3 linked regions of the Danio rerio genome follow. The protein of the gene in region 3 purifies or fractionates together with the protein of the main gene of each other region. This does not show direct contact. Links are inferred from orthologs where the notes say so. Each region holds a gene or a part of one and is shown on either strand. Other genes may lie near its edges.

What was found.
Region 1: the proteins of wdr82 (region 3) and ppp1cb purify together in Homo sapiens (affinity purification with mass spectrometry; 5 studies listed by BioGRID and IntAct, with this or other methods). This does not show direct contact. The link is inferred for Danio rerio from reciprocal best matches to the Homo sapiens genes WDR82 and PPP1CB.
Region 2: the proteins of wdr82 (region 3) and setd1ba purify together in Homo sapiens (affinity purification with western blotting; 4 studies listed by BioGRID, with this or other methods). This does not show direct contact. The link is inferred for Danio rerio from reciprocal best matches to the Homo sapiens genes WDR82 and SETD1B.

What each region holds. Positions count from the first base shown.
Region 1 is NC_133192.1:27,042,076-27,046,305, forward strand, and holds the start of ppp1cb (serine/threonine-protein phosphatase PP1-beta catalytic subunit), read right to left. Parts: upstream 2,801-4,230; 5' UTR 2,780-2,800; coding exon 2,728-2,779; intron 1-2,727. UniProt on the Homo sapiens protein: Protein phosphatase that associates with over 200 regulatory proteins to form highly specific holoenzymes which dephosphorylate hundreds of biological targets.
Region 2 is NC_133185.1:47,244,562-47,248,300, forward strand, and holds part of setd1ba (histone-lysine N-methyltransferase SETD1B-A), read left to right. Parts: intron 1-1,847; coding exon 1,848-1,973; intron 1,974-3,739. UniProt on the Homo sapiens protein: Histone methyltransferase that catalyzes methyl group transfer from S-adenosyl-L-methionine to the epsilon-amino group of 'Lys-4' of histone H3 (H3K4) via a non-processive mechanism.
Region 3 is NC_133181.1:44,014,658-44,017,426, reverse strand, and holds the end of wdr82 (WD repeat-containing protein 82), read right to left. Parts: intron 2,590-2,769; coding exon 2,520-2,589; intron 2,432-2,519; coding exon 2,289-2,431; intron 864-2,288; coding exon 834-863; 3' UTR 636-833; downstream 1-635. UniProt on the Homo sapiens protein: Regulatory component of the SET1/COMPASS complex implicated in the tethering of this complex to transcriptional start sites of active genes.

The sequences.
Region 1 (4,230 bases), on a different chromosome or scaffold from region 3:
ACCTTCTCCACCAATCAGGTTGGCACTTTTGTTCACGTGCACGGAGCTGCTGAAGTTACAGTAAACAGCACTTGGAGGCTCTCAAGCGCAAAGCTGTCAAGAAGATGCCTAGAGGCGATATGAAGGTGGAGCTGCTTATTGCATTGGTGAACAATAATCATTTCCTCATCGCTAAAGCTGGAGCTGCTACTTGAACCATCCATAACAACAAGCATGTCAACTTTGTCTTCTTCTTTAGTGTTACATGCGAATGTCAGAAGCTTAAAGTTGTGTAGCGTCATCTAACGTCAAGGAGTAATTTTGCATATCCTTTTGCTTGGGTCTTTTGCAAAATTGCTTGGGTTTGAATCCGGAAAAACACCTTGAAAAATGCTGACCATAAACGCAAACGAAAAGCGTCCCGGTGTGTACGAGCCTTAAGATTAAATTTCTATTGAATTCTAACTTATTAAAAGTAACTATCTATAGTTATTCTAATGGCTATTTCTATTTGGCATGTATTTTACTATGCCAATAAATGCCAACAATCACCAGATAACAGCATATAATTTCTCAAACCTTTCGCAAATCTAATAAACACTGAATCAAAAAATTCACCCATTCAATAAAACTGCCAGCTGTCAGTAGACATGAAACAATCACCACTTTCAAGGTATATCGCAGTTTGGAAAAGTCAAGGTGCAAAACTGTCAAATTTTCTGCAATGTCATTCCTAAGATATGTGTACTTTTTTTGTTTTTAGGACAACAGAATGTCTAGCAGAAAAGATATCCAAAGACGTTGTTTTAAATAAAATAAAAAAATCTTTTTTTAAAACTAATAAAGACAATGATTCATTTCATAACAGAAAGACAAGGATTCATTTGAACTATTTGGACATGTTTACTGTTACAAAATATTTTAAACATTTCTCTTCAAAATGAAAGATATTGTGTTCAAAGGGGAAAAAAGTTTTTGTTTATTACCCAGAGGTTTAAAAAGAGCATATATTTCAGAGCAGTTATCACAAAACCAAGAAACCACAATATTTTTGAAAGGTTATCAAACCATCAGAATCTTATACTGGCCCATGCCTAGTTATCTGTGTCTGAGAGTTGTGAATTGGCCTAAAAGTACAACTACATATAGTGTAACATTCCTTACAGCACGCGGGAGGAAATATACAGCTTTCAATGCCATTAAGAGGAGGATTCAGTGTAATCTTATAATAAGGGGAATAATAAGCAATTAAATCATTAGGGAAATGAAGTGAAACATTACTACGGCCAAGTACACAAAATAACGCTTTAAAAGTGTTAATTGTATTTAAATAGAGGAGGAATCCCCCAAATAATTGCAAACTATCGTGAGTAAAACAAGAGACAATGTAAATGTGGTAACCATAGCAACATTTTTGTTAACAGCTACTAAAGATGACTTTAAACACATTTCTTTAGAAGGCTGCTTCACAGAGGCCACTCTTCAAGTTTTGCCACATATACAAATTACAAGCAATCCTTGCGAAGTGTCTTTTGACATTAAAAATACAGTTTATCACTACAAGCTTGTTTATTCTAAGTTAAAACATTGGTTTTTAGGTTTGCTGTGTCAATTACAACATTAACATTTAGTTATTATTTAATTTTTTTTTGTTACAAGCTGTAGAATGTCTGTATATGTACCCATCAATTGCATTTCCTTGAAATAAAGCACTTGCTGTAGTTGCCACTCATATAAATGACTGAACTGTGTAAACAGCACAGATTTAAACAATCAAATCTGAACTGACAACCAAATTTAGCTGCGGCCTTATAGCAATGAAACCTTGTGAATATGCAGTGATAAATAGGCATGGACCGATATAAGATTCTGACGGTATGATAACCTTGGATAAAAATATCACAGTTTCACGGTATTGTGATCACTGCTCTAAAATATGTCTTTTTAAATGTCTGAGTAAAAAACAGCACCTATATCTCAACAAAAACAACAACAACATATACAACTCAATGTTACCTTACATTCTTTGTATGGCTTTACTAAAGTTATAACAAACGTTTCCAATGAAAGCATTGAGACATTAAAGGTATGCAACGGTATAAAGATAATATGTATTTATGAAGGGAAGAAAAATTATGACAAATAATACATATTAAAAGGGAAATATGAAGAGTAACGATAATGTAACGCTGTGAATTGTAACGTTACTTACATTGTACAATTACGGATAAGATTGAGTGTATTGTTACACACAAAACACCGTGAACATTAATAAGATGATTTAGAAAATCCATTTGTTTCACATAAATCAAGAGTTTTAACGTACACGGTGAATAACACGGTAATCCTGTATTTTGAAACCAGTAGAAGCAGAGTCTAATGGAGAATCGGGTTTACGTCGGTTGCATTCGCCTAAAGTCGACGACGCAGCGAGCACCGCATCGTCCTGCCCTTTCTCCCATTTCTCGCTTTCTTTAAACATCTGCTGTATAAACCACAGGCCCTCGCGTCTCATCCCTGCTTTGGTAGATATTAGATCTAATCTGAACCTCCCAGCGCTGGTATGAAAGCTGCCCAAACCCCGGGGCCACTGCCGTGTTTGTAAACAGGGCGCAGAGACCCGAAGCTTTGCTCTCTTTTTAAACGCAAAATTTCCAATTCACCGGCGATAAAACAAGTCACAACTAGTGTCTAATCACTGGGTTTATCGTGTAAACGTTAGAAAGGCTAAATTTTCAAACAGCTTACCTTCAAGAAGTCGAGAGATGAGACTGTCAACGTTTAATTCCCCCTCCGCCATCTTCAGTGCCGAGTTCTGCATGCAGCGCTTCAAGCAACGGCCGCTAGGTGGCGCTTGCAATGACGTCATTCACTTGGTTACAAGCAGTTACGTCAATATTAATGACCTTTTCATAAATATTTAATCGCGTTTGAAGGCAAACTTTTGACCTGTTGATAGGAGTTTAATTGTTAATGGTGTTTCCTATTGTTTAATGTTTGGCTATTTGTGTATTTGGTTTCTCTTCTAGATGGATTTTTTTCATAATAGGTATACTCTTGGCATTTATTTATTTTTTTCAATATTTTAATAAAATCAATATTAATGTTTATGTAATGCAAAGTTAAAAACTTAATTTTAATACCTTAACTTAAACACATTAAAAATACAAAGACTAGTATTTGTTTCCACTGATGTAAACCTGACAAAAGTCTTGTTGTCTATCCAAATTTTAAGGACAACAAATAATAACTTGACTTCTAAGCTTATTAAGTTTAAGCTTATTTTACTGAAATAAAATATGATCATGCCTCGATTTTTAATTATTTAATTAGGACAGTAAGATCTGACTTTGCTTAGACAAGTCTTGTTACTTAACTGAAATAATGTACAGTTTAGAATATAAAGTCATGCTGCAGTGGAAAGATAATTATTATTGTGTATGACTCCCGTGAGCTTGGAAGACTGCATCCATACATCTCTGCAATGACTTAAATAACTTATTAATAAAGTCATCTGGGATGGCAAAGAAAGCGTTCTTGCTGGGCTCCCAGCAATCATCAAGATTCTCTGAATTCATCTTCAATGCCTCTTCCTTCATCTTACCCCAGACATGCTCAATAATGTTTATGTCTGGTGACAAGGCTGCCCAATTCGGAGCACCTTGACCTTCTTTGCTTTTAGGAACTTTGTTGTGGAAACTGAGGTATGAAGAGCGCTTGATGAAGAATTTGCCTTCTCCTGTAGTTTGTAATGTAATGTGCAGCACAAATGTCTTGATACCTCAGGCTGTTGATGTTGCCACCCACTCTGCAGATCTCTTGCATGCCCCCATACTGAATGAACCTCAAACCATGACTTTTCCTTCACCAAACTTGACTGATATCTGTGAGAATCTTAGTTCCATGCGGGTTCCTATAGGTCTTCTGCAGTATTTGTGATGATTGGAAAACAGTTCAACAAATGATTCATCTGAAAAATCTACCTTCTGCCACTTTTTTAAATGATCAACTAGAAGTCAATTTATTATTTGTTGCCCCTACTACTGGGGTAGACAACAAAACTTTTATCAGGTAGTGTAAAATTACTATTATAGATCAGTATTTGTTACACATTTTGTACAATATTATGTATGACAACAAAACAAAACAAATCAAAAACGTCTTGTGTAATGACACAATTTAATGAAAAATAACTTGCTAATGGGATCACAGATCAAAGGTTAAGAAAATACTTATTATATATAATTTTTT
Region 2 (3,739 bases), on a different chromosome or scaffold from region 3:
AAATGCTATTAAAGTCACTATTAGTTACAGGTTTCCAACATTTTTTAAAATAACTTATTTTGTGTTCAACAGGAAAAAGAAACTCAAACAGGTTTGTGAAAAGTGAATAATGAGTGGAGAGGAGACACAGTGATGAAGCCAATTATGGTATGGGGAATGTTAGGGGGCCATGATGGACAGAGGCCAGTGGGCAGATTTGGCCAGGATGCCAGGGTTAAACCCCTACTCTTTTTTTGAAGGACATCCTGGGATTTTTAACAACCACAGAGAGTCAGGACCTCGGTTTAACGTCTCATCCGAAAGACGGCGCTCACTGAATAGTATAGTAGGGCATTATACTAGGGCATTAGGACCCACCCAAATCACAGGTTAGGTGCCCCCTGCTGGTCTCACCAGCAACCTAGCTTTCCTATGTGGCCTTCCATCCAGGTACTGACCGGGTCCAGCCTTGCTTAGCTTCAGTGGGTGACCATGTGAGAGTTGCAGAGAGCTAGCTGCCGGATAAATCAAAATAAAAACAAAATGACATGAAATCACAGGCGATTGTCTTTTGATCGAGTGCACCTGAAAAGACATTCCTCATAGAGCTTAAGAAGCATACAGTCCTCTAAGATCTATATAATTTGTAAAATAAAGACTTGCAGGTTAAGGAAACAGCATAGGAGGTAGTTGCCGTGGGCTTTGGTGCAAATGAAAAGTAAAAAAAAATAAGTTGTATTTATAGCTAGATAGGTAACTAGATAGAATAGACAGAGATAGATAGATCTGTGCAGCAGCTGCCGATGAGTTGCACGCTGCAGATGCAGTCTGTGTGAAAGGCAAACGTCTGCGTGCTGCTTGCGTTGTGAAATAGACGTAATTGTGCCTTCTCTTTTTTTTTTAGTTCTTTTTAAGCTTATTTTAACACTTTTTGAAATCTGTTTAAATTTTAAATTCTTTGTTGTTTTTATTTCTTATACTTATTGTGTGATCATTTTATAATTAATTTAACCCTTGTCTAATGTTCAAACGAACTACTCTTTCGTTATGTTGGTGGCTGTATTTGCCCTATTGACTTTGATTATAAGGACATTTTTTGATTGCAAAGCCATGGCAGCATATACTCATGTATTCTTGATTGTTGGTGGTTATTCCTGTGGGGAGTTTCTACTGTTGATCATCAGTTGGCAGCACTTACACTTTAGATGTGCAAAAAGCTTTCTGGCATTTATATGAAGTTCTGTAAATTATATGGAGTAAAACAGCAGATGATAGCGTGTGTGCAGAAATACACTTACTGTGTTTACTATGTGAAGAGAGCTGAGCTGCTTATTTTAATTTCTCAGACATATCAAGGCAAGAGCTTAAAGGTCTCTCACACACAAACACACTATACTCTATATAGAAGGCAGAAAATACGCTTACAGATTCAAATAAAACAATTGACCTTCCCAACAGGATAAACCAGCAACAATCAAGAATACATGATTATATGCTGTCATGACTTTGCAATCAAAAAAAGTCATTATAATGGAAGTCAGTTGGGCTAAATCAGTCCCGAACATAACAAAAGGGAAGTCAATTTGCCCAGAGTTTATTGTTGAATTAAAAAAAAAAAAATCGAAGCATTTTCCCAAAATATGTGTCAAAATAAGATTTTGTCACCAAAAATCATTCCATTTGCTGAAACACAGAGAACAGTGTGGCCAAACTAAGACTCAAAATCCCACCAGAGAGGATGAAACCCTCTCCAACAGCACACAAGGGTTAATCTTGGTTTATGTAAAGTATTTTGGACTTACCTCTGTGTATGAAATGTGCTTTATGAATAAATCTGCCTGGCTTTAGACTAATGTGTTTTGTCATAGGGAAAGAGTATACCAGCGCAGCCCCAAGTGTCCACCAGAGCAGGTTCAGAGCGGCGGTCCGAACAGCGGCGCTTGCTGTCGTCCTTCAGCTGTGACAGTGATCTCCTCAAGTTCAACCAGCTCAAGGTAAGACAAGCACAAACCAAACTATTTACAGTACTGTGCAAAAGTCACTAGTATTTTCACCAAAGGTTAAAGTGGGTTATTTCTATAATTTTCTGTAGTATGTCAGTTTGAAATGTCAATTTACATTTACCAACATTATTTCTGTCATTAATTGTAATTATGCAGCATGAGATTGACAGGTGGATTGGTGCTGTGGCAGCATTAATGCGGTCGATGTACCGGTCTGTTGTGATAGAGAAGGAGCTGAGCCGAAAGGCAAAGCTCTCAATTTACCAGTCAATCTACGTTCCTACTCTCACCTATGGTCATGAGCTTTGGGTCATGACTGAAAGGACAACATCTCTGATACAAGCGGCCGAAATGAGTGTCCTTCGCAGGGTGGCAGGGCTCAGAGTAGAGCCACTGCTCCTGAACATTGAGAGAAGTCAGCTGAGGTTACTCGAGCATCTGTTTCGGATGCCTCCTGGAAGCCTACCTAGGGAGGTGTTCCAGGCATGTCCCACCTGGAGGAGACCTCAAGTAAGACACAGGACATGCTAGAGGGACTATGTCTCTCGGCTGGCCTGGGAACACCTCAGGATCCCCCCGGAGGAGTTGGATGAAGTGTCTGGGCAGAGGGAGGTCTGGGGTTCTGTCCGAAGACTGCTGCCCCCACGACCCAGCCCTGGAAAAGCAGTAGAAAATGAATGAATGAATGTATTTATGCAGTGAGATTAATGTCTGAGGGTAGGACTGTCACCTCACAGCAAGAAGGTTGCTAGTTCGAGTTCTGGCTCGATCAGTTAACATTTCTGTGTGGACTTCTCCTCGTATTGGCATGAGTTTCCTCCGGGTGCTCCAGTTTCCCCCGCAGTCCAAACACAAGCACTATAGACTGTTTCAATGTGGTCATGTCATTGGTCCATGAACATTTAATTTATAGGTTTTAATTTATAGTAGCCTAAGTTATTTATTAAAAATTGTGTATTTACTGAATTGGGCCTATATCCTAAAACATTTCTGCAGTGTTATGAATGTGTCAAAGTTATAAATGTGTGTGTATGTGTGTGTGTGTGTGTGTGTGTATATATATATATATATATATATATATATATATATATATATATATATATATATATATATATATATATATATATATATATATATATTGTTATTCCTATTATTATTATTATTAGGTAAGATATTGTTTTGTATTTCTTAATAAATGGCCTACTATAAATTAAAACTATTACCGGTATGATTTATATAAAAGATTACAATTGTGTTTTTTGTAAGTGGTCTTATGTTTTAGGATATAATATGGCATATTCCTGATAATATTTGTCAAGGAAACATACAGTAGGCCTTATATGTGGGACGATATAAAACGAGTGCATGTTTTTACCACAACTAATATTAGATTTTTAATTTATTTTTTTAAGTGTGTGTGTGTGTGTGTGTGTGTGTGTGTGTGTGTGTGTGTGTGTGTGTGTGTGTGTGTGTTAGTTAAACAGTTTGCACAAAGCTATGGGGATCATTATGGCGTCATTTTAGATGTTTTACATTATAACTAATGTGGTTTACACAATGGATCTGTGACAGAGAAACTACGGTTTTGGGAAACACTTGTCACTACATCGTTCTGTTCCCAAATGATGCATCATACTATAATAGTTCAGCCACGAGTTTTGTCGTTGTTTGGGAAATGCACCCAGGTCTTCATTGTTAATGAGAACTGGTTTTCAATTGACTTATCTGGTTAAATAAAGGTTATTATTAATAATCAC
Region 3 (2,769 bases):
ACACTGAAAGTCTGGGCAAGTGACAAGTTTTGTACATGAAATAAAAAGTTTCCAAGAAAGGATTATTTCAACTTTTAAATAAGAAAAGGTGTAATGTGTGAGGCTAACCTGAAAAAAAACCCTATTTGGATTAAAAAATAAAACAAATTACAGTGACAACAAAGCTACAACTCATATAAATAAAATGTGTTGTTTTGTTAGTGCAAAGTAAGTTACAAAACAAGATGACGCTTCAGAGAGGCTGGTCAGTGTATACTGATTATAAAATTTGTTTTTATAAGCAATTTACAATGCTGATATTACAAAGAAATGCAACAGAAACAGGTAAAATAATGGTATAAAAGCAGTTCCCCTCAGACACAATTATACTGGACTACACACAACAGCTAGAAGCATTACATGTCTGAAAGGCCTCAAAACCAAATCTTTGGAAAGTTGTATAAACATGTTTATTAAAAAAAAAAAAGTTCCATTGACATTTTTTTTTTAGATCGCACAAGATGCTAAATCTACAGGTGCTGACTTCTGGTATAGTTTGGAGAGCTAAGATCAATTCTGCTGGATGTTTTACATCACCTCAGTTTCATTGAGCACTGTTACAACCTCAAACAAAACAGAATGTGTGAACAGATCACTTAATGTTTTACAAAAACTTTTTAATCATACAAATATAAAATGAAAAAAAAATAATAATAATAATACAACTCGGCATCAAGCCAAATCTATTTACAGTCCAAAATTCCCACGGTGAACATCTTCATGTGTGCCAAGAGAAGGGTGAATGACGCCACCTGCTGGAAGAACATCACAGGCCGACTGATGACAGCTGCCCATCAATCATCAATGGTGGGTAACCAGAACGCCTGTGCAGGGGACATTTCAGAATATGTTTGTGATATACATCAGGAATAATGATGCATCTATATACACCTTAATAAAATGGGAATGGCTGGTGATATTAACGTCCTGTTTGTGGCACAATAGTATGTGAGGGGGCTTGTAAATAACTCATGAAAGAATAAAATTGTTAAAAGCAAGCACATCATTGTTTTTTTTGTGTGAAATTCCCAATAAGTTTATTAAGGTGTGTCCATTTAAATGGCCCACCCTGTATGTGTATATAAATATAAATATATATATATATGGCCGTCAATTAGTGACTACTGCAGTATTTACACAAAGAAAACGCAGAAGATTTTAAGGACAATTTGACAACCCTGTGTACTCTTTTTATATCACATTTTCCCCATTCCATTTCTCCAATAATTACCATAAAAAATTAGCAGTGAATGCTACTGACTAAAATACCTTATACTAAAAAGGCTGTTTTATACAGTTGTTTTATGTTCATCTCTTAAGTTCTTTTTTTTTAAGTCTGCATCACAAGTCACAAAAATAAACAATAATAATAAAAGTAATACTTTAAAATGAGGCTAATATTTTTCTGATCTATTTACACAAACAAAAAACACATATGCTTAAATAATTGTTTTGAGTTTAACATTCACAGACTACAGTCCATAGCAATTTCCTTTTCATTCATTTAAATTCTGTGAATCTTTTATAGTAAATTATACTATCGATTAGATTGCACCATTTGACATTTTATTATTTTCAGAAAGCATAGAGTACTAAACGAATGCAAAGTAAAAAAAATGCCACTGAGATGAACAGGAATACTAAGGCATATACTGATGGCTGAAGGTCTGGGAACTTTGGCAGATTTCAATGGTTAAAGAACCACCCATGATGCCATTTCAGACTGACAGCTTTACCAACCAATAACCATTCGTTTTGTGTTGTGTCTTATGTATGTGCGTGGAAGAGTCTACAGAATGCCTAGCCATATGCGTCATCCATTCAGGTCTTCAAACGTTTACAACAACGCATCAATATACTTAATGATCTGTCAGCAAAACATATAGGAAATCAGTAGGAGATGTATGTGGACGCAGACTGAGATAAACATTGCAGCAGTTTTTTTATCCAATCAGACTTGTTTCCAGGTGGACTGGTTAATATTGCTGTACACTAGACTCCCAGAAATCAGAGGACAACTGATGATCTGTTAAAGTGTTTCCAATTAAGTGTGCCATATGCATCAGACATTTAGCCACATGTCCGTGAGCAGTGTTTGGCATGACATCTAAGACTAACTAATTCATAACTACCTCCAAGTTTCTCCCAAAACAAGTTTTGAAAATGTGACAAATTGCACATATTCCATCTACATATACAGTAAGTTATGCCAAACATCAGATTTGTGTCTACCTTCGGTTAAGTCTTACCATGTTAGAACAGGCACTGGCAAAGGTCATGAATTTGGGGTTAAACTGTAGACATGTAACAGGACCAGTGTGTTTCCCATCCAGAAGCGCTACTTTCATCCCACTCTCAGCATTCCACACATGGATCTTCCCATCTTCTGATCCTGGAAATGTTGAGGAGACACGATCAATCTCTGTAAACTCATCTTAAGTCCTTTTGTAGTCCTGTGAGAAGCTTAAGTGAAGACTTACCGATCATAATGAACTGAGAGTCTGGTGTGAAAGAAGCCTCCAAAATGACACCTTTACTGTTGTTATAACCCTGCAGTAAGAAAGAGAAACACTCTTAAAAGTGCCTTATTATGCTTTTTTCTAATATAATCATAAATGCTTTGTAATAATTAGGCTATTTATTAATTTATGATGTAATATTAAGTATTTTTGAAAAACTTTTTACCTCAAAAGATTAAATTACATTGGTTAAAAAAAAAACAAGCCCATT